Callithrix jacchus: one gene and its partners. The protein of the gene in region 1 purifies or fractionates together with the protein of each later gene. This does not show direct contact. Links are inferred from orthologs where the notes say so. Each region holds a gene or a part of one and is shown in the gene's direction. Other genes may lie near its edges.

The links.
Region 2: the proteins of CDC27 (region 1) and NEK2 purify together in Homo sapiens (affinity purification with mass spectrometry; 6 studies listed by BioGRID and IntAct, with this or other methods). This does not show direct contact. The link is inferred for Callithrix jacchus from reciprocal best matches to the Homo sapiens genes CDC27 and NEK2.
Region 3: the proteins of CDC27 (region 1) and TTK purify together in Homo sapiens (affinity purification with western blotting; 3 studies listed by BioGRID). This does not show direct contact. The link is inferred for Callithrix jacchus from reciprocal best matches to the Homo sapiens genes CDC27 and TTK.
Region 4: the proteins of CDC27 (region 1) and CDH1 purify together in Homo sapiens (affinity purification with western blotting; 4 studies listed by BioGRID and IntAct, with this or other methods). This does not show direct contact. The link is inferred for Callithrix jacchus from reciprocal best matches to the Homo sapiens genes CDC27 and CDH1.
Region 5: the proteins of CDC27 (region 1) and ANAPC7 purify together in Homo sapiens (affinity purification with western blotting; 23 studies listed by BioGRID and IntAct, with this or other methods). This does not show direct contact. The link is inferred for Callithrix jacchus from reciprocal best matches to the Homo sapiens genes CDC27 and ANAPC7.
Region 6: the proteins of CDC27 (region 1) and anaphase-promoting complex subunit 11 purify together in Homo sapiens (affinity purification with mass spectrometry; 8 studies listed by BioGRID, with this or other methods). This does not show direct contact. The link is inferred for Callithrix jacchus from reciprocal best matches to the Homo sapiens genes CDC27 and ANAPC11.
Region 7: the proteins of CDC27 (region 1) and CCNB1 purify together in Homo sapiens (affinity purification with western blotting; 6 studies listed by BioGRID, with this or other methods). This does not show direct contact. The link is inferred for Callithrix jacchus from reciprocal best matches to the Homo sapiens genes CDC27 and CCNB1.

What each region holds. Positions count from the first base shown.
Region 1 is NC_133506.1:86,999,626-87,003,125, reverse strand, and holds part of CDC27 (cell division cycle protein 27 homolog), read left to right. Parts: intron 1-927; coding exon 928-1,002; intron 1,003-2,585; coding exon 2,586-2,742; intron 2,743-3,500. UniProt on the Homo sapiens protein: Component of the anaphase promoting complex/cyclosome (APC/C), a cell cycle-regulated E3 ubiquitin ligase that controls progression through mitosis and the G1 phase of the cell cycle.
Region 2 is NC_133520.1:16,824,881-16,828,957, reverse strand, and holds the start of NEK2 (serine/threonine-protein kinase Nek2), read left to right. Parts: upstream 1-1,277; 5' UTR 1,278-1,419; coding exon 1,420-1,515; intron 1,516-2,377; coding exon 2,378-2,595; intron 2,596-3,190; coding exon 3,191-3,431; intron 3,432-4,077. UniProt on the Homo sapiens protein: Protein kinase which is involved in the control of centrosome separation and bipolar spindle formation in mitotic cells and chromatin condensation in meiotic cells.
Region 3 is NC_133505.1:85,475,991-85,479,490, forward strand, and holds part of TTK (dual specificity protein kinase TTK), read left to right. Parts: intron 1-2,631; coding exon 2,632-2,808; intron 2,809-3,124; coding exon 3,125-3,209; intron 3,210-3,500.
Region 4 is NC_133521.1:26,357,249-26,360,748, forward strand, and holds part of CDH1 (cadherin-1), read left to right. Parts: intron 1-329; coding exon 330-554; intron 555-2,051; coding exon 2,052-2,279; intron 2,280-3,500.
Region 5 is NC_133510.1:113,289,502-113,293,001, reverse strand, and holds part of ANAPC7 (anaphase-promoting complex subunit 7), read left to right. Parts: intron 1-662; coding exon 663-859; intron 860-3,500. UniProt on the Homo sapiens protein: Component of the anaphase promoting complex/cyclosome (APC/C), a cell cycle-regulated E3 ubiquitin ligase that controls progression through mitosis and the G1 phase of the cell cycle.
Region 6 is NC_133506.1:137,489,908-137,493,920, forward strand, and holds the start of anaphase-promoting complex subunit 11, read left to right. Parts: upstream 1-1,213; 5' UTR 1,214-1,344; exon of another isoform or gene 1,345-1,354; intron 1,355-2,289; 5' UTR 2,290-2,300; coding exon 2,301-2,409; intron 2,410-4,013. Other genes in the region: ALYREF (THO complex subunit 4), read right to left, coding at 196-327, 814-1,071. UniProt on the Homo sapiens protein: Together with the cullin protein ANAPC2, constitutes the catalytic component of the anaphase promoting complex/cyclosome (APC/C), a cell cycle-regulated E3 ubiquitin ligase that controls progression through mitosis and the G1 phase of the cell cycle.
Region 7 is NC_133503.1:140,376,152-140,380,088, reverse strand, and holds the start of CCNB1 (G2/mitotic-specific cyclin-B1), read left to right. Parts: upstream 1-1,137; 5' UTR 1,138-1,145; coding exon of another isoform or gene 1,146-1,269; coding exon 1,270-1,290; intron 1,291-1,892; coding exon 1,893-2,063; intron 2,064-2,159; coding exon 2,160-2,318; intron 2,319-3,937. Other genes in the region: uncharacterized protein LOC118151518, read right to left, coding at 813-929, 1,146-1,271. UniProt on the Homo sapiens protein: Essential for the control of the cell cycle at the G2/M (mitosis) transition.

The sequences.
Region 1 (3,500 bases):
AATTCCAGCACTTTGGGAGGCTGATGCAGGCTGATCACTTGAGGTCAGGAGTTGGAGACAAGCCAACTTGGCGAAAACCCATCTCTACTAAAAATTCAAAAATTAGCAGGTATGGTGGCATAAACCTATAATCCCAGTTACTCAGGAGACTGAGGCAGGAGAATTGCTTGAACCTAGGAAGCGGAGGTTGCAGTGAGCGGACATTATGCCATTGCACTCCAGCCTGGATGACAGAGCAAGACTCTATCTCAATAAATAAAAATAGACTGACTGACAGGTAGATAGGTAGGTAGGTAGAAAGATAGATAGATATATAGGTAGATAGATAATCAAAAAGCAAGAATTGTCACCATCTGTGTATTTCACAAAGGGGTGTGTGTGTGTGTGTGTGTGCATTTAGTGTACTAGAGTACCTGCCATTTCTTAGTACCTATTGTCATATAAGTATGCATTTATTTTCACAACAATAAGAACTGATGCAATAAGGAAGTATATTGGTTAAGATTTAGTTAGCTTAGGCCGGGCACAGTGGCTCACACCTGTAATCCCAGCACTTTGGGAGGCCGAGGCGGGTGGATCACGAGGTCAAGAGATCGAGATCATCCTGGTCAACATGGTGAAACCCTGTCTCTACTAAAAATACAAAAAATTAGCTGGGCATGATGGCACGTGCCTGTAATCCCAGCTACTCAGGAGGCTGAGGCAGGAGAATTGCCTGAATCCAGGAGGCGGAGATTGCGGTGAGCCGAGATCACGCCATTGCACTCCAGCCTGGGTAACAAGAGTGAAACTCCATCTCAAAAAAAAAAAAAAAGATTTAGTTAGCTTTTATGAAGATGATTTGGGAAATCGAATAAGTAAAAATACTTGCTTGGTCAAAACTTCCAAACATTTTGCTACTTTAAGGTTTTTCTTTGCCTTTTTCAGTCTGCTTTACAAGAACTTGAAGAATTGAAACAAATTGTTCCCAAAGAATCCCTCGTTTACTTCTTAATAGGAAAGGTAAAGACTGGGGCCATGGTCCCAAACTGTGACTTTCATAGCAAATATTGACATTGTATATTTTATAAGAATGAATATACTTACTGTATAGTATCTATTGAGCAAATTCAACTAAAACTCCAAACTGAGTGCTCTGGGAATAACAGATTTAGTTCTTAACACTTAAGAAAATTATATCCTAGCTGGGCATGGTGTCTCATGCCTATAATCCCAGCATTTTGGGAGGCCTAAGTAGGTGGATTGCCTGAGGTCAGGAGTTCAAGACCAGCCTGACCAACATAGTGAAATCCAACTGCTACTAAAAATATAAAAAATTGGCCGGGTGCAGTGGCTCACGCCTGTAATCCCAGCACTTTGGGAGGCCGAGGCAGATGGATCACAAGGTCCAGAGATCAAGACCATCCTGGTCAACATGGTGAAACCCCATCTCTACTAAAAAATACAAAAAATTACCTGGGCATGGTGGCGCGTGCCTGTAATCCCAGCTACTCGGGAGGTTGAGGCAGGAGAATTGCCTGAACCCAGGAGGCAGAGGTTGCGGTGAGCTGAGATCACGCCATTGCACTCCAGCCTGGGTAACAAGAGCGAAACTCTGTCTGAAAAAAAAAAATATATATATATATATGTAATTAGTTGGACATGGTGGCACTCACCTATAATCCCAGTTACTCGGGAGGCTGAGACACGAGAATCACTTGAACCAGGAGGCAGAGATTGCCATGAGCCAAGATTGCACTGCTGCACTCCAGCCTGGGCGAGAGAACAGGATTCTGTCTAAATAAATAAATAAGAAGAACATTAATGGCACTGTGTTGTATTGATTAGGAAAGATGGCTTCTGAGATTCCCAAGGCCAGACTAGTCAGTTTTTTACAGACTGGCCCCCCCAGATGCCAATTAGTTAAGGTGCCTGTAGACAGTTGTTAAGAGTTTATATATATAACTCCATTTAAAATCACCATAAATGAAAGTTAATTAAGCAGTTTATTATTCGTTTAATCCCATTATCATTGTTCCAGTCAGAGTGATATTTACTGGAAACTTATTACCTGATAGAAGCAAGAAATTCTGAAAATAACATCTGATTATATTAAAAGGAAAACAAAAGCTAGTATGAGTTCATCTGTAAGATGAAAGTGTTCTACCCTTAGAATGAGTTTAGAGCACGTACACCAGGAGCCTAATATAAATTATAAATATTTAGAATTTTAGGGGCCAGGCGCAGTGGCTCACACCTGTTGTAATCCCAGCAGTTTGGGAGGCCAAGGTGGGTGGATCACCTGAGGTCAAGGGTTTGAGACCAGCCTGGCCAACATGACAAAACCCTGACTCTACTAAAAATGCAAAAATTAGCTGGGCTTGGTGGCAGGCACCTATAATCCCAGCTACTCAAGAGGCTGAGGCAGGAGAATCACTTGAACCTGGAAGGTGGAGGTTTCAGTGAGCCGAGATTGTGCCTACTGCATTCCAGCCTGGGCAACAGAGTCCATCTCAAAAAAAATAAATTAAATAAATAAATATTTAGAACTTTATAGTTGAAGCTCACAACTTAATGAAAAATGTAGTGCTGCTGTTTATTTTTAGGTTTACAAGAAGTTAGGTCAAACGCACCTCGCCCTGATGAATTTCTCTTGGGCTATGGATTTAGATCCTAAAGGAGCCAATAACCAGATTAAAGAGGCAATTGATAAGCGCTATCTTCCAGATGATGAGGAGCCAATAACCCAAGAAGAGCAGATCAGTAAGTATCATACATGTGATTTTGAATATTTAGAAAGTTACCTTTTTGCATAAGGATTTGTAGGATACTCTTATTTTTCTAACCATGGTGTTTTCATTATACCAAATTTAGGGAAATTGAACAGGGTGATGTAATAACGAAATGCATATAGAGTCAGGTAATTAGTCTGTTCTGGATCCAGTTTGCTGTATGACTTTGACAAATTCATTGCTAATTTTTACCTGGGCCCTCAATTTGTGTTTGAATATGTAACCAGTACTGTTTTATCTGCTTCATAAGAATGTAGTTTTTTAAGGAAGAGGATAGAGAAATTTCTGATAAGATAAATTCTGATGAGATGCCTTTGTTCCAGAAAACTTGGTGAAAGGCTTTAATTAAAATTATAAGCCGGCCGGGCAGTGGCTCACGCCTGTAATCCTAATACTTTGGGAGGCCGAGGTGGGTGGATCACCTGAGGTCAGGAGTTCAAGACCAGCCTGGCCATCATGGTGAAACCCCATCTTAAAAAAAAAAAAAAAAATTCTAAGCCATGGGGCCAGGCACAGTGGCTCACACCTGTAATTCCAACACTTTGGGAGGCCAAGGTGGGTGGATCGCCTGAGGTTAGGAGATCCAGACCAGCTGGCCAATGTGGTGAAACCCTGCCTCTAGTAAAAATATATAAATTAGCTGGACGTGATGGCAGGAGCCTATAATCCCAGCTACTTAGGAGGCTGAGGCAGGAGAATCACTTGAACCCAGGAGGTGAAGGCTGCAAT
Region 2 (4,077 bases), on another chromosome or scaffold:
TCTTACGTTATATTCGGTGCACGTAATAAGTCCCTTATTTTTTTAACATAAAGAGCTTTTTAATTCTTATTAATAGAAAATCAGGTTTCTTTCAATCCTATGCTGAACAGATATTTAAAGAAAACTGGCAGTTTACGCACTGCCAAATGACTAGCTTTCTGGTAATGTACATATTCCCCCAATAAGCCCTGGATGGAGGCCTCTAGGTGCTCCCTCCCTGGTAAACATGGGGCTGTTCATTTGGCTAGGTAAGCTGAGAACCTTGGTTTGTTTGGGTGCCTAAAAGAGAGTCTGTGTTCTACGAAGCATTGTCAACAGGGTTAATGATGTGTTTGGCACACATAAACGGGACAAGACGTGTAAAGTGCTTGGTCGGAGACCGACTGCATTTCTTTTTTTTTTTTTTGGAGAATGGGTCCTTGCTCTGTGGCCCAGGCTGGAGCGCAGTAGCACAATCTCGGCTCACTGCAACCTCCGCCTCCAGGATTCAAGCAATTCTCATGCCTCAGCCTCCCAAGTAGCCGGAATTACAGGCATGCACCACCATGTTGGTTTTTCTTTTTTTGGTGGGGGGCATTTTTAGTAGAGACGGGGTTTCGCCATGTTGGCCAGGGTGGTCTTGAACTCCTGGCGTCAAGCAATCTGCCCACCTCAGCCTCCCAAAGTGCTAGGATTACAGGCGTGAGCCACAGCGCCTGGCCTAATTTTCGTATTTTTAGTATAGCCGAGGTTTGCCATGATGGCCAGGCTGGTCTGGAACTCCTGGGCACAAGCAATCCACCCGCCTAGGCTTCCCACCGTTCGTGAGCCACCGCGCTCGGCGGGGAGACTATTTCTGATTTGTATTCAGCCCTCAGCATCTCCTCAACGTGATCCCACCTCAGGTTCAGGGTGCTGGAACCTGGAGCAAGAAGGGCGTTGTGCCGGGGAGAGTAGGTGGTGTGAGGAATCAGAGTGCAAAGGTCAGAAGACAGTTGGTTGAAGCGGTGTGCAAAGGAGTCTGAGGGGAGGTCCTTAGATCTTGCTTACCTTGGCGATCTCTACCAGGGGGCTGGAGTTGCCGAGAGGCTGCAGCTACCACTTCCTTTCTCCCGCCTTCCCTTTGGTTTAGCTCCTCCCTTTTCTCCCCAGAGGTTAAAAGCCGACGCCGACGCGGTTGCCTAGCGACACTTTTCCCAAGATGCCTAGGATATTGTTGTGTTCTTCTTAGCCAATCAGAGAGGCGAAGCGGGCTCAACGCCTGCCAATAGCCTGCGAGGCCATGGCCCGCGACGGTTAAACGGGGCCAAAGGAAGGGGCAGCGGGTTAGTGCTACTCTGGGGTTTCTCCGTTCGGGTCGTTGGAGCTCCCGATCCCTGGAGCTCCGCACTTGGGGACGCAACTGCGTGAGGCAGCGCGACTCTGGCGACTGGCCCGGCCATGCCGTCCCGGGTTGAGGACTATGAAGTGCTGTACACGATTGGCACAGGCTCCTATGGCCGCTGCCAGAAGATCCGGAGAAAGAGTGACGGCAAAGTGAGCGTGGGCCCTTCCCTGTGCCCGCCCCTGCTTAGGTTTCATTGCCCCGGGGCGACCACCCTGCGCCGCCGAAGGGAACCGAGAGGGCTGGGGAAGTGGGTTCCCGGAAGACTCAGCTGTCTTTCCTGGGTCTGCATCTGACAGCCTGTCCTGGGTCGCTTAAAGGATGGGAGACTGCGTCGTTTGATACACATTTATACATATTTCCATCTTTTCCCGTTTGTCTCCCAATTCCTCTCTTTCTCCTGCTTTGGCTTGCTAAGGGCCTTCCATTGGTGACACGTAGCTAACACCTGAGGTGTTTTTAGAGCTCTAAGAATGGCCTCTGAGACACAAGAAAGGGGCAGGACCACCAGAACCCGAAGCTTTGTATCTGCAGTCAGATTCACTCAAAGCACCCATTATTCGATTATTGGATTCATATTTCCCACTGTATGTAGGTAGACCTTTTACGGAAAGTAACACTGGACAGCAAACTGCCTGGCTGCTGACGGAGGAATCCCTATGAAGTTCTCTCGCCCTGGGTGGAATGGGGCAGGGACTTTGACCACCTCCAACCCCATTTTGACTCAAGTACCTTTTTGCCGACTTCCCACTAACAAACTGAGAATAGGGGTTGGGGAAGGCCTCATGTGCCTCATTCTTCCCTTATTTTCCCGCAGCATCATTTACTGCTTAAAAATTAGAGGAAGATTATGGAAGTAAACTCAGAGCTCCTTAAGTTTATTGAACTAAATTAGATAATGACTTTGATTGTAGGATATAGTTAAAAGGGAGGTCATTTTTTAAATCTTGGAACTTTCATTCTGTGTTTTTGGGCATAATGAGTTCATTCATATCTTGGAAATTCTTTTTTCAGATATTAGTTTGGAAAGAACTTGACTATGGCTCCATGACAGAAGCTGAGAAACAGATGCTTGTTTCTGAAGTGAACTTGCTTCGTGAACTGAAACATCCAAACATTGTTCGTTACTATGATCGGATTATTGACCGGACCAACACAACACTGTACATTGTAATGGAATATTGCGAAGGAGGGGATCTGGCTAGTGTAATTACAAAGGGAACCAAGGAAAGGTAAATGCAATCTTTTAAAAATGTAGCTGAAAATGGGTGGGTCTAGTTTCATTTGTTTTAAACATCTTGTTTTAGGATCAGTAATATGGAAGAGTGGACTTGTATTTGTTTGGTAGGTCCATAGGACTTTAGAAAATTCCCAGAGAATCAACACCCATATTTTATAGCAAAATAACAATTTATAGGCTGAGTGTGGCGGCTCACACCTGTAATCCCAACACTTTGGCAGGCCGACGCAGGAGGATTATTTGAACCCAGGATTTCAAGACCAGCCTGGGCAACATAATGGGACCCTGTTTCTACAAAAATTAGCCGGGTATGGGGACACGTGCCTGTAGTCCCAGCTACTTGGGAGGCTGAGGCAAGAGGATTGCTTGAGCCTGGGAGGTCGAGGCTGCAGTGAGCCATGAACGTGCCACTGTACTCCAGCCTGGGTAACAGAGAAAGATCTTGAAAAATATCAATCAATCAATCAATCAATAATTTATTTCTCTATTTGTACACTAGCTAATTTATTTCTCTATTTGTACACTAGCTAATCTTTTTGCAGTGATTTTTTTAGAAGTTATGTGCTATATGATTGCTTTGCTTTCAGGCAATACTTAGATGAAGAGTTTGTTCTACGAGTGATGACTCAGTTGACTTTGGCCCTGAAGGAGTGCCACCGACGAAGTGATGGTGGTCATACTGTGTTGCATCGGGATCTGAAACCAGCCAATGTTTTCCTGGACGGCAAGCAGAACGTCAAGCTTGGAGACTTTGGGCTAGCTAGAATATTAAATCATGACACGAGTTTTGCAAAAACATTTGTTGGCACACCTTATTATATGTCTCCTGTAAGTATATCAGAATTTAGATACTTTTCAAACATCTTTTTATTTATTTTTTCTTTTAATTTTTTGGAGATGGAGTCTCGCTCTGTTGCTCAGGCTGGAGTGCAGTGGTGCGATCTCAGCTCACTGCAAACTCTGTCTCCCAGATTGAAACGATTCGATTCTCCTGCCTCAGCCTCCTGAGTAGAGTAGCTAGGACTGCAGGTGCATGCCACTATGCCCAGCTAATTTTTGTATTTTTAGTGGAGATGTGGTTTTACCATGTTGGCCAGGCTGGTCTCGAACTCCTGACCTCAGCCTCCCAAAGTGCTGGGATTACAGGCATGAGCCACCGCACCTGGCCAAAACATCTTTTAATGTTAAGCATTGTGAAGCAGGGAAATTGAGTTTTCTATTTGTTCAGTAATATCTAGAAGCCAAGAATTAATAATACTGTTATATTTTTCCACATGGGCCGCCAGACCAATGAAGTCTCTGTTTTTGTTTGCTGTTTGAGTTATGTGCATTAATGTAAATATGATGAAGACAAATTCCTAGTCTAAGGTTTACACTGTTTGTCGTCTCTCACTGCGTTCAATTTTTTTGAGCATCCATGCAAATTAAAGCATATTCAGTTCAAGCTTTATGGAATGACTACCACGCATTAAAC
Region 3 (3,500 bases), on another chromosome or scaffold:
CAACTGTCTATGGCCAAGTACTTGCCTAGTTTGCCTGTCTCTAAATTAGGTTTATAGACAGTGCCTATTGTAAAATAAATGGAGGATAAAAATGGGAAAGAATATATAAGGTACTTAGCACATTTATTAAGTTTAGAATCATTACTTGATAAATGAGTTTTTATTTACTAAATTACATTTTCCATTTTAGAAAATCTAGCTTTTAAATGTTTTTGAAATAACTGGCATAAAATTTTGCTAAATATTTTCATAAAATTATTTTTGTATTTGTTTAGCCTCCACTCCTCTTCTAAAACTTAGATTTGTTATGTTTTTTATTAGACTTTCCATGAGTTTGTTCATCTTAAATACGATATGCAGTTCTTGACTTCATTTATCAATTCTATTTTCATTTGCTTTACAACTTGAGTACTTATAATAACCAGAAACTTTCCCCTATGATTAACCATATTTATGGTTTACCATTTGATGCCCATGACAATGTACTTTTATTATTTCTGTATCAGAAGTGAGGAAATATACACATAGTACCACCAGTTAGTGACAAAACCAGAATACAAGCTCAGCATAGTTCTATAGTATATGCATTTGGATTTAAAGTTGTATTTTTATTTTTTGTTGTTGTTAAGAACTAAGTGAGGCGATTCTGAGCACACAGCCTAGTTCTAGCACAGAGAAGCTTCTCAACAAATGTTGAGCTATTCTGATTTTATTCTTATAGACATTTTCTTTTTTTTTTTTTTTTTTTTGAGACGGAGTTTCACTCTCGTTACCCAGGCTGGAGTGCAATGACGCGATCTCGGCTCACCGCAACCTCCTCCTCCTGGGTTCAGGCAATTCTCCTGCCTCAGCCTCCTGAGTAGCTGGGTTTACAGGCATGCGCCACCATGCCCAGCTGATTTTTTGTATTTTTAGTAGAGACGGGGTTTCACCATGTTGACCAGGATGGTCTCGATCTCTTGACTTCGTGATCCACCCGCCTCGGCCTCCCAAAGTGCTGGGATTACAGGCTTGAGCCACCGCACCCAGCCCTTCTTATAGACATTTTCTTCTACAAGGGGTTGTTTGTTGCCATTACTGTTACTATTTGGCCTGCCAGTGTAGGCAGAGCCATGGTTCTAAGAGACCCAACATTAATAAACCATAAACAAAGACCACAGTGTTCCCATTCAAAGCCAGGACTCATAACTCTAACAACAGAGAATTCACAGCTTCCAATGACATCCATAGTAGTTCAGTTCCTCACTGAGGTAGGAAAGCAGATGTTCTTAATGTCTTCAATTTCCAGATAAAGTCCAGAAAATTTGCTGATGTCTAAAAATATTACAACTAAGAAGTAGCTGAATCAGAACTTAAATTCACAGCCTCCAATTCCAAATTAGGTCCTGTTTTCTCTTTTTTTTTGAAAGAAAGAAAAAAAAAGGAATGAAGGAAAGGAAGAAAGAGGAAGAGAAAGAGGGAAAGAGAACGGGAGTGTTGCTTTATTCTAAAAATGGGTATTGAAAACCTCTTTTATGCCAATAATTGTGCTTAATAATGGCCAACCGATATTTCATTTACACCTGTGAGTAGGTGTGATGTGGTACTGGTAATATTTATTAAGTTTACTTGTTCCAGGTCTCGGCCGGGAGCGGTGGCTCAAGCCTGTAATCCCAGCACTTTGGGAGGCCGAGGCGGGTGGATCACGAAGTCAAGAGATCGAGACCATCCTGGTCAAGATGGTTAAACCCCGTCTTTACTAAAAATACAAAAAATTAGCTGGGTACGGTGGCGCGTGCCTGTAATCCCAGCCATTCAGGAGGCTGAGGCAGGAGAATTGCCTGAACCCAGGAGGCGGAAGTTGCGGTGAGCCGAGATCGCGCCATTGCACTCCAGCCTGGGTAACAAAAGCGAAACTCCGTCTCAAAAAAAAAAAAAAATTTTTTTTCTGTCTCATTGATCTATCTAATATTGATGTTGAAGTCTCCCACAATTATTGTGTGGGAGTCTAAGTCTATTCATAGGTCTTATGTATCTGGGTGTTCCTCTATTGGGAGCGTATATATTTAGGATCGTTAGCTCTTTTTGTTGCATTGATTCTTTTACCATTATATCTTTGTTGCTTTAAAATCTATTTTATCAGAGGCGAGAATTGCAACTCCTGCTTTTTATTTATTTATTTATTTATTTTTGCTCTCCATTTGGTTGGTAAATCTTTCTCCAATCTTTGTATTATTTATTTATTATTTCCAAAGGTCTGAAGGGTTGCGTAATTTAAACAGCCATTAAAACTGTATACATACTTTGAACTTCCAATAATTCTGGGGAAAACAAGTAACCTTAAAACTATAGTTATATTTTTTAGTTTTATATTTTCCCAGGTTGGAAAGAATTTAATATTTTGTCTTAAAATTGAAATATTTTAATTATGAGGTTATAGAAGGATTTAAAGAGAAGCTCTGTTAATGGAAAAACCAACTGAAATGAAAACTAGTAAAAGATGTTTTGTCATATTAACATAATGTACTCAGGCATTCATGGAGATTTAATTATGATTTTAAATGTATATATATACATATATATGTTTCATATATGTGTTTTACATTTTATATTAAAATAACAGCAACTTTTTTGTGTTTGTTTTTTCCATAGATAAGTCCCAAAAGTGATGTTTGGTCCTTAGGATGTATTTTGTACTATATGACTTATGGCAAGACACCATTTCAGCATATAATTAATCAGATTTCTAAATTGCATGCCATAATTGATCCAAATCATGAAATTGAATTTCCTGATATTCCAGAGATAGATCTTCAAGATGTGTTAAAGGTAATATTAATTTCATATAACTAATTATTTACTTAAAAGAAATAGCTGAAATGATTGGTGTTATGTAACTCGCTTAGATATAACTATTCTATTCAAAAGAATTGCTAACTGAATTAGTTTTTTACTTTGAAGATGTTTTAAAGTTTGTAAATACTTAGAGATTTTGCAGAAGTGCCTTGGGAGAAATAATCTTGTCATTATTTGAATGGGATATCTAAAAAGCAACTTTTATAATATAATCTGGAAAAATATTTCATCAATATCATATGTAAAAATCTGCTTTGTTTTTCTTTTAAAATTTTTTTTGTTTATATAGTGTTGTTTAATAAGGGACCCTAAACAGAGGATATCCATTCCTGAGCTCCTGGCTCATGCATACGTTCAAATTCAAACTCATCCAGGTACTACTTCTTTAAAACTTTGTTTATTACTACATTACTAATATAAACAGTCTGTTACCTATTTATATAACAGAAACAGAATCTGAATTGGCTGCTCTTGGTCAGCCTACCTCTTTCTCTTTCCTTAAGGAAGTTCCATTATTATAAAAAGTAAACAAACTTTTTTCTTTACTTCTGGTATTCATTTTTACTTATTTTAGATAAGGTGTATAATCAGTGTGTCACTTATGCTGTGAATCAAAATGTGTATTTATAATGGACTTATATTATTTTTCTTATTGGTACTAGTGT
Region 4 (3,500 bases), on another chromosome or scaffold:
CAGGCAGTAATGATTTCTTGGAGCTGTTAAAATTCAATGAATGAATAATGGCATGTGAAGAAGGAGGAGGGTGTCCCTGGTATGAGGAATAACTTGAATAATGGTTATCAAGGTGGGAATAAGCTTGTCTATGTAAAACGGTCAGAGGCCTGCCCACCTGGGAATGGAGGTGCCCTGGGATTGGTAGGATGGGAGGTTCTGGGGATGGAGTGGGGCCTGGTGAGGGACGACTGAAGAGCTAGGACAAGATCTGGATTGGGTCTGGTAGAAGGCAGTGGGGATCCATGACTGTTTCTGAGCTGTAACATTTCCTCTGTATTTTCTCTTAGGTTCTCCAGTTGCTACTGGAACAGGGACGCTTCTGCTGATCCTGTCTGATGTGAATGACAATGCCCCCATACCAGAACCCCGAAATTTGTACTTCTGCGAGAGGAATCCAGAGCCTCAAGTCATCAACATCATTGATGCAGACCTTCCTCCCAATACATCTCCCTTCACGGCAGAACTAACACATGGGGCGAGTGCCAACTGGACCATTGAGTACAATGACCCAAGCGAGTACCTGAGCTTTATTTTGGCAACTGTGCTGTGACTGCCATGCTTTCCTTCCCCCAGATCCCCACCTCTCAGTTTCTCTTCTCAACTTCCAAATGCCACCCCTTCTGTTGATACTTGTTTCCTTGTTCATTCTGTCTTTGAGGCCTTACTCCAAAGGTCTCTTTCCTTTCTTGGTATCTAGCTTTGTAGCATGCTACCCAGTAATATAAAACCCAAGCAGGGCTCCCTCTCCCAGCCTCTAACCACCCTCCAATCTCCTCTCCACTTGCAATCTCCGGGACTGTCTTCTCTGCCACCTCCCGCTCCTGGGACGAAACAAGGCCATTTTTGTGGTTAGCTCCTTCTTGCCGATGAACCATGAACTCCCAGATTGTCAGAACTATTCCACCGAGGTGGAGGCAGCTGTCGACTGCCTGGTCAATTTGCATCTGTGGGCCTCCTACATCAACCTCTCTCTGGGCTTCTATTTCCACTGTGATGATGTGGCTCTGGAAGGCGTGGGCCACTTATTCCACAAATTGGCCAAGGAGAAACGCAAGGGTGCTGAGTATGTCTTGAAATAAACGCAAAACCAGTGTGGTGGCCATGCTGTCCTCTAGAACATCCAGAAGCCATGTCAAGATGAATGGGGTAGGCTGGGCACAGTGGTTCACATGTGTAATCCCAGCACTTTGGGAGGCCTAGGTGGGTGGATCATGAGGTTGGGAGTTCGAGAACAGCCTGGCCAAGATGGTGAAACCCCTCTCTACTAAAAATACAAAAATTAGCTGGGAGTGGTGGTGTATGCTTGTAATCCCAGTTACTCAGGAGGCTGATGCAGAAGAATCACTTGAACCTGGGAGGCGGAGGTTGCAGTGTGCAGAGATCATGCCATTACACTCCAGCCTGGGTTACAAAGTGAGACTCTGCCTCCAAAAAAAAAAAAAGATGAATGGGGTAAAACCCTGGACACAATGGAAGTCGCTCTGGCCCTAAAGAAGAACCTGAACCGAGCCTTTTGGATCTTCATGCCCTGGGTTTCATCCACACAGACCTCCATCTCTGTGACTTCCTGGAGAGCCACTTCCTTGATGAAGAAGTGAAACTCATCAGGAAGATAGGTGACCCCCTGACCAACCTCTGCAGTCTGGCCATTCCCCAGCCCAGGCTGGGAGAGTACCTCTTTGAAAGGTTCACCCTAAGGCACAACCAGGAGCCTACTGAGCCCAGCAAATCTGAAGAGCCACTCTCTGCCTGAGTCTCTCCCTCCAGCCACTAGTCAGCTTTTTAACCTGCCCTAGAGCCCTCTACCAAGCCTTAGACCAAATGGAAATAAAGCTTTTTACAGCCAAAAAAAAAAGAGTAGATACCTAACTAAAACCCAAGCAGCTCTGCTCTCTTTGCTCGGCTTGCAAATGTCTTTAGGTCACTAACAATTTTATTGTGGAACGAGCTTTTTTCCCTCTCTCTCTCTCCCTCCTGGTCTCATCATTTCTTTTTATTGCTTCCCCCAGCCCAAGAATCTCTCATTTTGAAGCCAAAGATATACTTAGAGGTGGGTGAGTACAAAATCAATCTCAAGCTCATGGATAACCAGAATAAAGACCAAGTGACCACCTTAGAGGTTCACGTATGTGACTGTGAAGGGACCGCCAACGTCTGTCGAAAGGCACAGTATGTCGAAGCAGGATTGCAAGTTCCTGCCATCCTGGGGATTCTTGGAGGAATTCTTGCTTTGCTAAGTAAGTCCAGCTGGCAAGTGGCTCAGCCTTTGACTTAAAAAAAATGGAGGAGGGGCCGGGCGCGGTGGCTCAAGCCTGTAATCCCAGCACTTTGGGAGGCCGAGGCGGGTGGATCACGAGGTCAAGAGATCGAGACCATCCTGGTCAACATGGTGAAACCCCGTCTCTACTAAAAATTACAAAAAATTAGCTGGGCATGGTGGCGCGTGCCTGTAATCCCAGCTACTCAGGAGGCTGAGGCAGGAGAATTGCCTGAACCCAGGGGGCGGAGGTTGCGGTGAGCCGAGATTGCGCCATTGCACTCCAGCCTGGGTAACAAGAGCGAAACTCCGTCTCAAAAAAAAAAAAAAAAAAAAAATGGAGGAGGTTTATTTCCTGCAAATGATATTTGTTCTTATATTAGTTAGGGTATGGTTTTTAGCCAATATAGGAAAGGGACTTCCAGGCTATGCTGGCCTACATTGAATAGAAGTTTGTCTCTTACCAAATGGTTTGGAGGTAAATGGTCTAAGATGGGAGGGAGGGCAACCCTGTGCCATGAAGTCAATAGGGGACCCAGGTTTCTTCTATCATGTTTATTTTCATCCTTCAAGTCAGTACATCCCAAGCTTGAGTGCATGCAAATCACATGGGCCTCTTAGTAAACTGGGAAATCTGATCCAGGAGGTCTGGTGTGGGGCCACAGATTCCACATTTCTAACCAGCTCCCAGGGGGTGCTGATGTTGCAGTTCCTTAGACCATAGGCAGAGTAGCAAGACCTTGGGGGCTGCCCCAGCATGGTCTAGGCTAGCCAGCTCACCACCACCACCACCTCTATATTCCATCCTAGAAGGGGGAAGGGGATGAGAGAGGAAGTGGAGGCCACACGACTGGAGGCAATGTCACCTCCGCTTATATACCATTGGCCCAAACAGAGCCACACCTAGCTGCAAGGGAGCCTGGAAGCTTCTACTTGCAATTGAAAATTGCCATGGAGTAGGGATGGGTGTAGGGTGAGCAATGAGTGAGTGTCAATGACTAAAAGGATAAAGGAGAAAAAGGATGCTGAGGAAAATTGGCAGATTCTGCCATAGTCCTTAAACCTGTTTCCCTTGGAGCCCACCTGCAGTGACCCCTCAGGGTGACACAGGTGCTGTTATGGTCAAGGCGAATTCTTTTGTCATTCACACACAGAAAATACTGAATCTATTAAAGGAATAAGTTAGTTATGAAAACAGATT
Region 5 (3,500 bases), on another chromosome or scaffold:
TGTATTGTGCTTAGTACTGGGCCATCAGTGATAGGACCAGAAGATGCTCCTTTGTTACTAACCTGGCTTTACAAATTCTCCAAATGCCTCTCTGCTAATAACTAGTATCCAGATTGTAGGTTCTTTTCCATAATTTTTCCTTTCCATATTAAGATTTCCCTCTAAAAAGAAATATTTAGTGGATTTTTTGGTTTTGCTTTTCCATTAATAGCTTAGGTTAAAACTAAGTGTGGGACTGGGCTCAGTGACTTACGCCTGTAATCCCAGCACTTTGGGATGTTGAGGCAGGCATATCACAAGGTAAGGAGTTCCAGAACCGCCTGGCCAACATGGTGAAACCCTGTCTCCACTAAAGATACAAAAAAATTAGCCAGGCTTGGTAGCAGGCGCCTGTAGTCCCAGCTACTCGGGAGGCTGAGGCAGGAGAATTGCTTGAACCTGGGAGGTGGAGTTTGCAGTGAACTGACATCATGCCATTGCACTCCAGCCTGGGTGACAGGGCGAGACTCTGTCTCAAAAAAAGCAAACAAGCAAAAACCATGGTAAGTTTGGGTTTGGAATAAGGATTATGTACAGGACCTTCAGTATGATTTTTGGATGAAGTTTCTTTGTAGTCCTTTTGGATAACTTCTGGGTTTTGTTTTTGTTTTTGTTTTCTCCAGTTGTCACAGCTTCTATAGCAAACGCTACTCTCGGGCCCTCTATTTAGGAGCCAAGGCCATTCAGCTGAACAGTAATAGTGTTCAAGCTTTGCTACTTAAGGGAGCAGCACTTAGGAACATGGGCAGAGTCCAAGAAGCAATAATCCATTTTCGGGAGGCCATACGGCTCGCACCTTGTCGCTTAGATTGTTATGAAGGTAAGATAGAAAATAAAGGTGAATGGTGTACATCTGTGGGTGTGGCATCGGCCCTAAGGTGGAAGGTTTCATTAGGCCAGCACTTTCCAAACTCTGTTAGAAGCATCTGGCAAAGCTTTTCAAAATCCTGTTATTGGGTATCTCCAGTGTAGATGGAAATATACGGGGTTGGGAATAGACATCAATATTTCTGAAGATACCCAGGTATTAGCAATATGCAGACAAGTTGGGGAACCACTACACTGGGCATTTTACATATATTTAGGGCTTTCACTGGATTTGTTACCTCATACTTTCAGAATCAATTTTTTCTCATTTTTTTTTCTTCTGGTTTTGGTGAGAGGATAGTTGGGATGGGGTGGTTGTTTTTGTCCTCCCACCCCTGCCCCGACCCATTGTGGCATACTCATTAATATGAATCTCTCTGTGTGAGGCACCATGCTAGATCACTTAGTTTACCTATTTTTATTATTTTTATTTTTATCTGAGGTAGAGTCTTACTCTGTTGCCCAGGCTGGAGTGCAGTGGTGCAGTCTCAGCTCACTTCAACCTCTGCCTCCTGGGTTTAAACGATTCTTCTGCCTCAGCCTCCCACGTAGCTGGGATTACATGCGTGTGCCACCATGCCCAGCTAATTTTTGCATATTTAGTAAAGACGGGGTTTTGCCATGTTGGCCAGGCTGGTCTCGAACTCCTGGCCTCAAGTGATCTGCCTACCTCAGCCTCCTAAAGTGCTGGGATTACAGGCATGAGCCATTGTGCATGCCCTGTTATACCTGTTCTTTTTTGTGGCCATCTTACCTTAGGCCAGAGATAGTACTCATAGGATAACTCCACGTCCATATGATACTGTTGGCTTTGGGAATGGGTCTGTTCATTGTGACCTCCAGAGTGGGCACAATTGGGGTCCAACTGTTTTGTTATGTCATAGTTTAAGTTCATGTGAACTGACCCCTAGGAGTTCAAAGGAGCTATGCCAGCTTCAGCAACGTTTGGTGACTCAGTCACAGACATTAAAATAGATCTTACAAGATGCAGTTCCTCCAAAACATATTTTTGTAAGCATTTAAAAATAAACCCAGGAGTCTAGGAGTGATTTGCTCTTAACAGGAAGATGAGTTCAAATTTGAGAAATAAAATTTGGAAGTTGGGAGGGAGAACAAATCTGCTTAAATAGCCAGAGAGTATGCCTCTGGTGGATTTGTTGTGGGGAAAGAGGATTGTCTTTGTTCTTAAAGAAGCTCCAGCAAACCAAGTTCTGGTTTCAGATTAACTTCTTGATCCTGAAAGTGTAACTTCTCTTTCTTTCCAGCTGTTGTTATGCTAATTCCATTGTACTTCACGCTTATTTCACTGGAGCTCAGGGATGCAGTTGAATAGCCCCTCCTATAATATCTGGACACCAGATGTTTCCCAGTTGGCCAGTGAGGCTTTTCAAGCTGCCATTTGGAGATTTGGCTCAGGGCAACCCTTGTTACACCCTTTAATGTTTCTTAGAGTTCCCATTTGGAGCTTCCTTTGCTGGTAGAGGTTTAGGTTAGGCAAGTGCATGCTCTTTTCTTCTGAAGTTCCAGTGGAGCTTTAGCAGGGAAGTAAAACTATTCAATAAGTAATTGCATACAACTGTATTTGGAATCCAACATGGTGCCCTTAAGAGTTAGGTAATTGGCTGAGCACGGTGGCTCACGCCTGTAATCCCAGCACATTGGAAGGCTGAGATAGCCAGATCACCTGAGGTCAGGAGTTTGAGACCAGCCTGGCCAACATGGTGAAACCCCATCTCTACTAAAAGTAGAAAAAAAAAAATTAGCCAGGCATGGTACACATGCCTGTAGTCCCAGCTACTCAAGAGGCTGAGGCAGGAGAATCACTTGAACCCAGGAGATGTAGGTTGCAGTGAGCCAAGATGTCACCACTGCACTCCAGCCTGGGTGACAGAGCAAGACTTCGTTTCCAAAAAAAAAAAGAGTTAGGTAATTTCTGGTTAAGTAACCATAGTGTGTGGAAGGGTGTGCATGAATGTTATAAATGCTGCTAGGGTGGAGGAGTATGCAGAGAAAATCTGCCAAGGATTGTGTGGGTTTGGGGTTTAAGCTGTTTTTCTGTTTTGATGAGCACTTTGTGCCAAAAAGTTATTCCTCTGTTCTCCTCAACTTCTTGGCATGAAGAGTTGAGAGTTGACTGTTCTCAAGGTGGTCCCATAGGGCGTCTTGCTGTGGGTGTGGAAAGAGGCAAGGGCTGCCAGTGACAGTCTTTTTGTTGGATCTGATAAAATACTGTCATCTAGTTTAGGGAAGCCCTCAGCAAGTGCCTTTTGAGACAGCTGTTATGTTTCAAATGAAAGAGTCTTACTAGATTGCTTGACAATAAGTCCTATAGTTTGTTGAACTGGACTTTCAGTTTAAGACTTTAGGAGCCAGGTCAGGTGCGGTGGCTCATGCCTGTAATCCTAGCACTTTGGGAAGCTGAGGTGGGTGAATCACCTGAGGTCAGCAGTTGCAGACCCGCCTGATGAACATGGAGAAACCCTGTTTCTACTAAAAGTAAAAAAAAATTAGCCAGGTGTGGTGGTGCATGCCTGTAATCCCAGCCACTAGGGAGGCTAAGGCAGGAGAATCACTTGAACCTGGGAGGCGGAGGT
Region 6 (4,013 bases), about 50 Mb from region 1:
TCCTCAGGCTAGGCTAGGCTCGCACCTGCCTGCGGACTGACCCTGGCTTTACTGGCGCTAGGTCTGTCCTGCAGCCCTTCAGAGCTGGGAGGGCTCCCTTTGCCAAGGCGGGAAGGGGACTCAGGGCCACATCCCCCAAAATATGATCCGTCCTGTGCAGGGCGAACGGGTCACCGAGAAGCCTTAGTCTCTTACCTGAATATCGGCATCTGACACTCCAAAATCCAGATTGGACACCAGCAGTTTCCCACCCGTCTCCACGCCGGCACCACCCCCGAAGCCACTGTCGAAAAGATCGTGCTGCCACTTGTCAGGAAGCTGTTTTGGCTGAAGGAAAAACCACAACAACAGCAGACCTGTGAGTCTCAGTCCAGGGCTTTCCCAGTCCTCGCGGCGACCCCGGACCCTTCCTCTTCCCGGCCTGAGAGGATCCGGCGGAGATGAGGCCGCCAGCGCTCCCTCCGGCCGCTAAAGCAGCCCCAGGTACGAGGCCGCACGGTCCCACCGCGGCAGCACAACTTCAGTTCCCTTCCACTAACTTCCCGCCGCTGTTGCCGCGCTCAGCTACCCCTCCGCTCACGCCGCCACGAGGTCCCGGCGGCCGGAACAAAGGGTTGAAAAGGGTCTCAGCCTCCGGGCCGGGCCCGGAATGAACGACCTCGCCCCCGCCCACCACCCCCTATGCGCCCTCCCACACGCACCCTCCGGACCTCCGGGCGGCCGCTCCACCAGCCCTATCAGCCAGCCGGGCTCGGCCTTCGCCGCCAGCCTCCCCGGCTTGCCCTCTCCGGTGCGGCCGGCCTCCACACTCACCCTGCTGTAGGGCGCCGGTCGGTTCCTCCCGCCTCCGCCGGCCGCGCCGCGGGCGATGGCCGGCCGGGTCCGGATAGGCCCGCCGCCTCGATTCACTCGCGCGGCGGCCTGCGCCCCGCCGCCGCGGCCGCCTTGGGAGCCGACCCGGCCGCGGCCCCGGCCCCCGCCGCGGCCTCCTCGCTGGCTCCGGTTCAGTTTAATGATGTCGTCCAGAGACATGTCCATTTTGTCGGCCATGGCGGGCGCGGAATCGGGCATCGGCTCGAGCCCGCGCGTCAGCACGCCAGCACGTCACCTCCGGCGCCGCGTGAGGCCTTCCGGTGCTACGGCCTCGGAGCGGCTAGTGATTGGCCGCCTGCGGACCGCAGCGCGCGCGGGACGGGGAGAGACGGGGAAGCGCGTGCGCACTGCCGCGCGGGACTCGGCGGGCGCTGCTGAGGGAGCCGGGCCGTGACTGTGGTCGTTTTTATACCTTCCCGCGCGGACGTCAGCGCTGCCAACGGAAGGGCGGGCAGAGCCGTGCGTGATTAGGTTGGCGAAGGTGCGAGGCCGCAGGGGGTTGGGCGGCGGTCGTTGGGAGTGGGGCATGCGCTCCCCTCCCTCCCCGCCTGCCCCGCCCTTCTGCTAGGGCTGGGGGCGCTGCGGGCGCGGCGGGTGTCCGGGAACCTGCGGGGGTCCTTGTTTCTGCGCCCGCCCGAGGGCTGTGCGCTTGGCTCGGGGCGGGATCCTGCGGGAGTGGCCTCAGCGGGCTGCAGCCGGTGCAGACCTGCTGCGGGTTGCTTTTTGGTTTTTGAGCCGGGGTTTTTGGTCTCCACCTGCAACCTCGAAGTCTCCAATCTCACATTTGCTAGTCATATCCTTTACAAGTTTTGGTACGGGCCCGGCGCGGGGCTCACGCCTGTGCTCCAAACTTTTTGGGAGGCCGAGGCAAGAGGATCGCTTCACCCTAGGAGTTTGAGACCAGCTGGGGCAACGTAGTGAGACCCCCATATCTAAAAAAAAAAAGTCGAAAGTCGGGTGTGCCATTGCACACTTGTAATCCCAGCTGCTTGGGAGGCCGAGGTGGAAGGATTGCTTGAGCTCAGTGAGGCCAGCCGGGCAACATAGTGAGACACTGTCTCTTAAAAAAAAAAAATTAGTCGGGCCGGGCGCGATGACTCATGTCTGTAATCCCAGCACTTTGGGAGGCCGGCTTGAACCCGGGAGGCGGAGATTGCAGTGAGCCAAGAGTGCGCCCTTGTACTCTAGCCTACACGACAGAGCAAGACTCCGTCTCAAAAACAAAAGAAAAGTAAAATAGAAACGGCTTACGATGTTCCTAGGCTGGGTTCGAATTCCTGGGCTGGAGTGATCTCCTGCCTTGGCCCCTTGAGTAGCTGAGACTACACTGTGCCAGGCTTATTCCTATTTTGGTGCCTAAATCTTCTAGTTCTGCAGACTAAATTAAGCCTGTCATCCTCTTCCCTTCGGGTACAGGCTCTGCTGCCATGAAGGTGAAGATTAAGTGCTGGAATGGCGTGGCCACTTGGCTCTGGGTGGCCAACGATGAGAACTGTGGCATCTGCAGGATGGCGTTTAATGGCTGCTGCCCCGACTGTGAGTGTCCCTTCCGCTGTCTGCCTGCTGGACTAGCCTCAGTGGCTCCTGTTAAATATACTTGCAGGAAATCCCCACATTTTCCTTTTTTTTTTTTGAGATGGAGTTTTGCTCTTGTTTCCCAGGCTGAAGTACAATGGTGCAATCTTGGCTTGCTGTAGCCTCTACCGCCCAGGTTCAAGGGATTCTCCTGCCTCAGCCTCCCAAGTAGCTGGGATTACCAGCATGCACCACCAAACCCTTCTAATTTTGTATTTTTAGTAGAGATGGTGTTTCTCCATGTTGGTCAGGCTGGTCTCAAACTTCCAGCTTCAGGTGATCTGCCCGCTTTGGCCTGCCAAAGTGCTGGGATTACAGGCGTGAGCCAATGCGCCCGGCCCCACATTTTCATTTTCATTTCTTGAAGAAAAGTTGATAGAAAAAAAGCCAGGTGGTTGGAACCCAGGTCAGTATAAAGATCCTTTCACTGCATTTGATAAGATGAAACTCAGCTGTGAAATACATGGCATTAAAAAGAGATTAAACTTTTTACTTGAAAGGTCTCAAAATTGAATGGCATAGGCTGGGCCTTATGGCTCACACCTGTAATCCCAGTGCTTTAGGAGGCCAGTGGGTGGATTGCTTCAGGCCAGGAGTTTGATACCAGCCTGGTCACCATAGCAAAAACTTGTCTCTATTGAAAATACATAAATATTAGCCGGGCATGTTGGTGGGTGGCCTGTAATCCAAGCTACTCCAGGCTGAGGCAGAAGAATCACTTGAACCTGGGAGGCGGAGGTTGCTGTGTGCCAAGATTGCACCACTGCACTCCAGCCTGGGCAACAGAGCAAGACTCAATCTCAAAAAAAAAAAAGTTGAATGGAATAAGGGCATTCCCTTTCCAGCACATTGAAAAACGGCAAATCATGTTTCCATATTAGCTTTATTTTTTGTGCCTAGTGATTTTTTTTTTTTTTTTTTTGAGATGGAGTTTTGCTCTTGTTACCCAGGCTGCAGTGCAATGGCACGATCTCGGCTCACCGCAACCTCCGCCTCCTGGGTTCAGGCAATTCTCCTACCTCAGCCTCCTGAGTAGCTGGAATTTACAGGCACGCACCACCGTGCCCAGCTAATTTTTTGTATTTTTAGTAGAGATGGGGTTTTACCATGTTGACCAGGATGGTCTCGACCTCTTGACCTCGTGTTCTACCCACCTCGGCCACCCAAAGTGCTGGGATTACAGGTGTGAGCCACTGCGCCCGGCCATGACTAATGATTTAAAATTTTATATCTGATGCATCTTCCCACACACTTCAGCCATGTGTCTTTTTACCCACCACTGTTGTACATCTGGCAGTTTCACAGTCATTCCTGCTTCTTGTTTCACCAGCTGTCCCCAAATGTCTTTTTTATGGTTGAGTGGTTTGAGCCAGGACTCGGCTTTTATTTTATTTTTTTTTGAGACAACGTCTCGCTCTGTCGCCCAGCTGGAGTACAGTGGGGTGATCTTGGTTCACTGCAACCTCTGCCTCCTGGGTTCAAGCAATTCTCCTTCCTCAGCCTTCTGAGTAGCTGGAATTACAGGCATGTGCTAACCATACCTGGCTAATTTTTGTGTTTTTAGT
Region 7 (3,937 bases), on another chromosome or scaffold:
AAAGCAAATGGGATTAAATGTATTTTATTTTGTTTTTCCTGATCTTCTCATGAGAGGCAAATACAGGTTAAGGATGGGTGAATCTGTGTAAAGGATATAGAAATGTTCCTTACAAGATTTTTGTTGGCAACTGGTCTAAGTATGATATTATTTCCAAATAGAAAGCTAAAACAAACAAAACAATTGGCCTTGGGAAACTGGCCAGTCTTGAAGTAATCAAGTAAGTAGAAGCTGGGAGGTGACTTTTTAAATTATTATTATTTTTTTTATTTGAGACAGAGTCTCACTCTGTCGCCCAGCTTGGAGTGCAGTGGCGCGATCTCAGCTCACTGCAACCCCCACCTCCTGGGTTCAAGCTATTCTCCTGTCTCAGCCTCCCGAGTAGCTGAGACTATGGGAAACTGCCACCATGCCCGGCTAATATTTGCATTTTTAGTAAAGACAAGGTTTCACTGTGTTAGCCAGGATGGTCTCAATCTCCTGACCTCATGATTGGAAGGTGACATTCTTAAGGGACAACCAGTGTTGCAAAAATAATACGAATACCCATCCTCCCTCCCCTCAAAAAACCCCTAAATTCAGTTCTTCGCTTGCTAATGTGTGATCCTGGCAAAGTCATCTAAGCCGCTGAGCTTCAGTTCCTCCACTCCATAGAGTTGTTGCAACTATCAAATGAAAGAACGTATATCAAAGCCTTTCATGAACTATATTATTGCTGCTACCGTAGAAATGGAAAGTGTGTAACAATAATTTGGACTAGATCCAAAACTACTTTGGACACTTCTGAGACTGTGGCCGCGCGCCACTGTCACCTTCCAAAGGCCACCAGGCTTTCCCAGATCTGGCACGGGCAGCGCACCCCCCCCCGCGCCCCCGCTTTCCAGGTAGGCGGCGCACGCGTTGCTAGGCTCTCCAGGTGACCGCGGCAGCTGCCCGAGAGCGCAGGCGCGGAGGCAGACAACGTGAGAACCTGGCCACGCCTTCCGGCCTTAGCGTCACTCTGACCCCGCCCCTCTCGAATGCAATCTCGGGATCGCCCTGGAAACGCATTCTCCGGGAGCGGCAGCCGCCAATGGGAAGTTAGCGAGTGCCACGAACAGGCCAATAAGGAGGGAGCAGTGCGGGGTTTAAACTTTAGGTTAGGCCGGCTCTTCCCGGCCTGCTGCGGAGGAACGGTTGTTGGTTTCTGGTGGGTTCAGGTCCTCGGCTGGTCGGGACTCCGGTGTTCTGCTTCTTTCCGCTGAGCTGCTGCCTGGTGAAGAGGAAGCCATGGCGCTCCGAGTCACCAGGGTGAGCCGTTGCGGACTGCGAACTAACGCGGCCTTCCTCGCAGCTGCCTGCTGGAGCCCCCCGAGCGGGAGAGGGCTTCAGGAGAGATTTGGGGAGGAAGGTGGGAGGGGAGTCACCAAGAGAACCGAGGTGGGCCCAGGCCTGGTGGGGGGTGTGGGGGACGATGGACGGAGGGAGGAAGGTGAGAAAGAGACCTGGACGGACATTGGATAAATGTTTGGGGGAGGTGGAGAGTCTAGGAACCTTTTGAAAAAGTTATGGAGGGTTCCTGAGTGGGCCCGCCAGCAACTGCGTAACCCACTTTCCAGAGAGATGGAATCAGCAACTGGAGGCTTTTTCGGTTTCCTTTCAAATGTAAATTCTCAGTATTTTAGGGCTGGCGAGGACTAATTAGGAAATCCCTCTATCGGTAAATGTAGAGGTTCTCGGTGGAAATTGACTTGTCACGGCCGCAGAGTACACTCTGGGACCCACGTTTTCCCTTGGAACCCATATTTAGTCGGCTTTCCTTCTGGGAACCTCTCTTGTGCCCCACCTTAATTAACCCTTGACTTACTCGAGCTTCCGTGGACCAGCTCTTAAAGTAGTCTTGCTTCTTTCAGAACTCGAAAATAAATGCTGAAAATACGACGAAGATCAGTATGGCAGGCGCAAAGCGCGTGCCTATGGCCCCTGCTGCAACCTCCAAGCCCGGACTGAGGCCAAGAACAGCTCTTGGGGACATTGGTAACAAAGTCAGTGAACAGCTACAGACCAAAATGCCTATGAAAAAGGTAGCCCTCTTCCTGACCTAACTAATGTAAGAGCCCGCCTTCCAGCTGTGGTCCTTGATGCAGAAATATTCCATTCTCTCTGTTTCATCTACACAGGAGGGAAAACCTTCAGCTACTGGAAAAGTTATTGCTAAAAAACTACCAAAACCTCTGGAAAAGGTACCTATGCTGGGGCCAGTGCCGGTGTCCCAGCCAGTGCCAGAGCCAGAACCTGAGCCTGTTAAAGAAGAAAAACTTTCGCCTGAGCCTATTTTGGTAAACTTATTCTTAACATTGTAGAGTCTTGTTATTTCTTCTGTCCCTTATTTCACTGACACATGCAAGAACATTCAAATAAATAGTAATATTAATATCATTTATTGAGTGCCTAGCATGAGGCAAGCTCTGCCTAACATTTTACATGCAGTAACTCACGTAATCTTTACATGTACTCTCTGAGGTAGATATTATCACCTCTACTATTTAGGTCATGGCTTTAGAAAGGTTATGTCAGGATCACACAGGTAAGTGGCTCATATGGGATTCAAGCTCAGGCTGTCTGACTTCAGAATCTATGCTTTTGTTACGACTTTCTTATATTACTTTCTTTGTTAATGATATTAAGTAGTAGCTGCCTGAACCAAAGGTTTTATTGTCCAAGAACAAGCTATCTCGCAGAATTTATCCTCATAAACATAGAATATTCTCTTGAATTTTTTTTTTTTTTTTTTTGAGACAGGATTTCACCATGTTGGTCAGGCTGGTCTTGAACTCCTGGCTTCAGGTGATCCGCCCGCCTCAACCTCCCAAACTGCTGGGATTACAGGCGTGAGCCACAGTGCCCGGCCTGAATTTTTTTTTTTAACTGCCTAATATGGCTACTAAATAATAAGCCCGTAACATTGGAATATGTAAATGAATAAAACAGGAAGAATGCAACTCTTCAGGGAGTGGTTAAGAAGATGAATTAACATTTAGCCTCAAAGAAAAAAAAATGTTATAACAGGATGTTTTAGAAAAGAAAAAAAGATTTAGGCTCAAGACCAATAACTTTATATTAAATATCAAATGTGTAAAGGTGTCCTATCCTGTGAAGGAAAGGTAGGTCATGTAGAGGAGGATGCTTTGAAATTGCAATGAACTGCATTTTGAAGCTCTGTTTGTTTTAAACTTAGTTAAAACCAGTTAAGAAAATTACCTGAAAAAAAATTTTTTTTTAAGATAGGGTTTTACCATATTGGTCAGGCTGGTCTCGAACTCCTGAGCTCAGGTGATCCGCCCACCTCAGCCTCCCAAAGTGCTGGGATTACAGGCATGAGCCACCACGCCTGGCTTGGAAAAAAATTTTTTTGAGACGGCAGTCTCACTCTGTTGCCCAGGCTGGAGTGCAGTGGCACAATCTCGGCTCATTGCAACCTCTTTCTCCCAAGTTCAAGCAATTTTCCTGCCTCAGCCTCCCAAGTAGCTGGGATTACAGGCACACGGCACCATGCCCAGCTAATTTTTTGTATTTTTAGTAGAGACAGGGTTTTACCATGTTGACCAGGGTAGTCTTGATCTCTTGACCTCGTGATCCACCTGCCTCGGCCTCCCAAAGTGCGTGAGCCACCGTGCCCAGCCAGTTTTTGTATTTTTAGTAGAGATGGGGTTTCACCATGTTGGCCAGGCTAGTCTTGAACTCCTGACCTCAAGTGATCCACCCACCTTGGCCTCCCAAAGTGCTGGGATTACAGGCGTGAGCCACCATTTAGCTTGAGCCTGGCCAGTTTAGCTTCTTATATCTAAGGATAAAAGATTGAAAGATATTGCTTTAGTGTTGAATTTCTGGTCATAGTACATGAAACATGTAGCCAGCACAGTCTAACTGGGCATATCAAACTACATGAGGCTTTCTT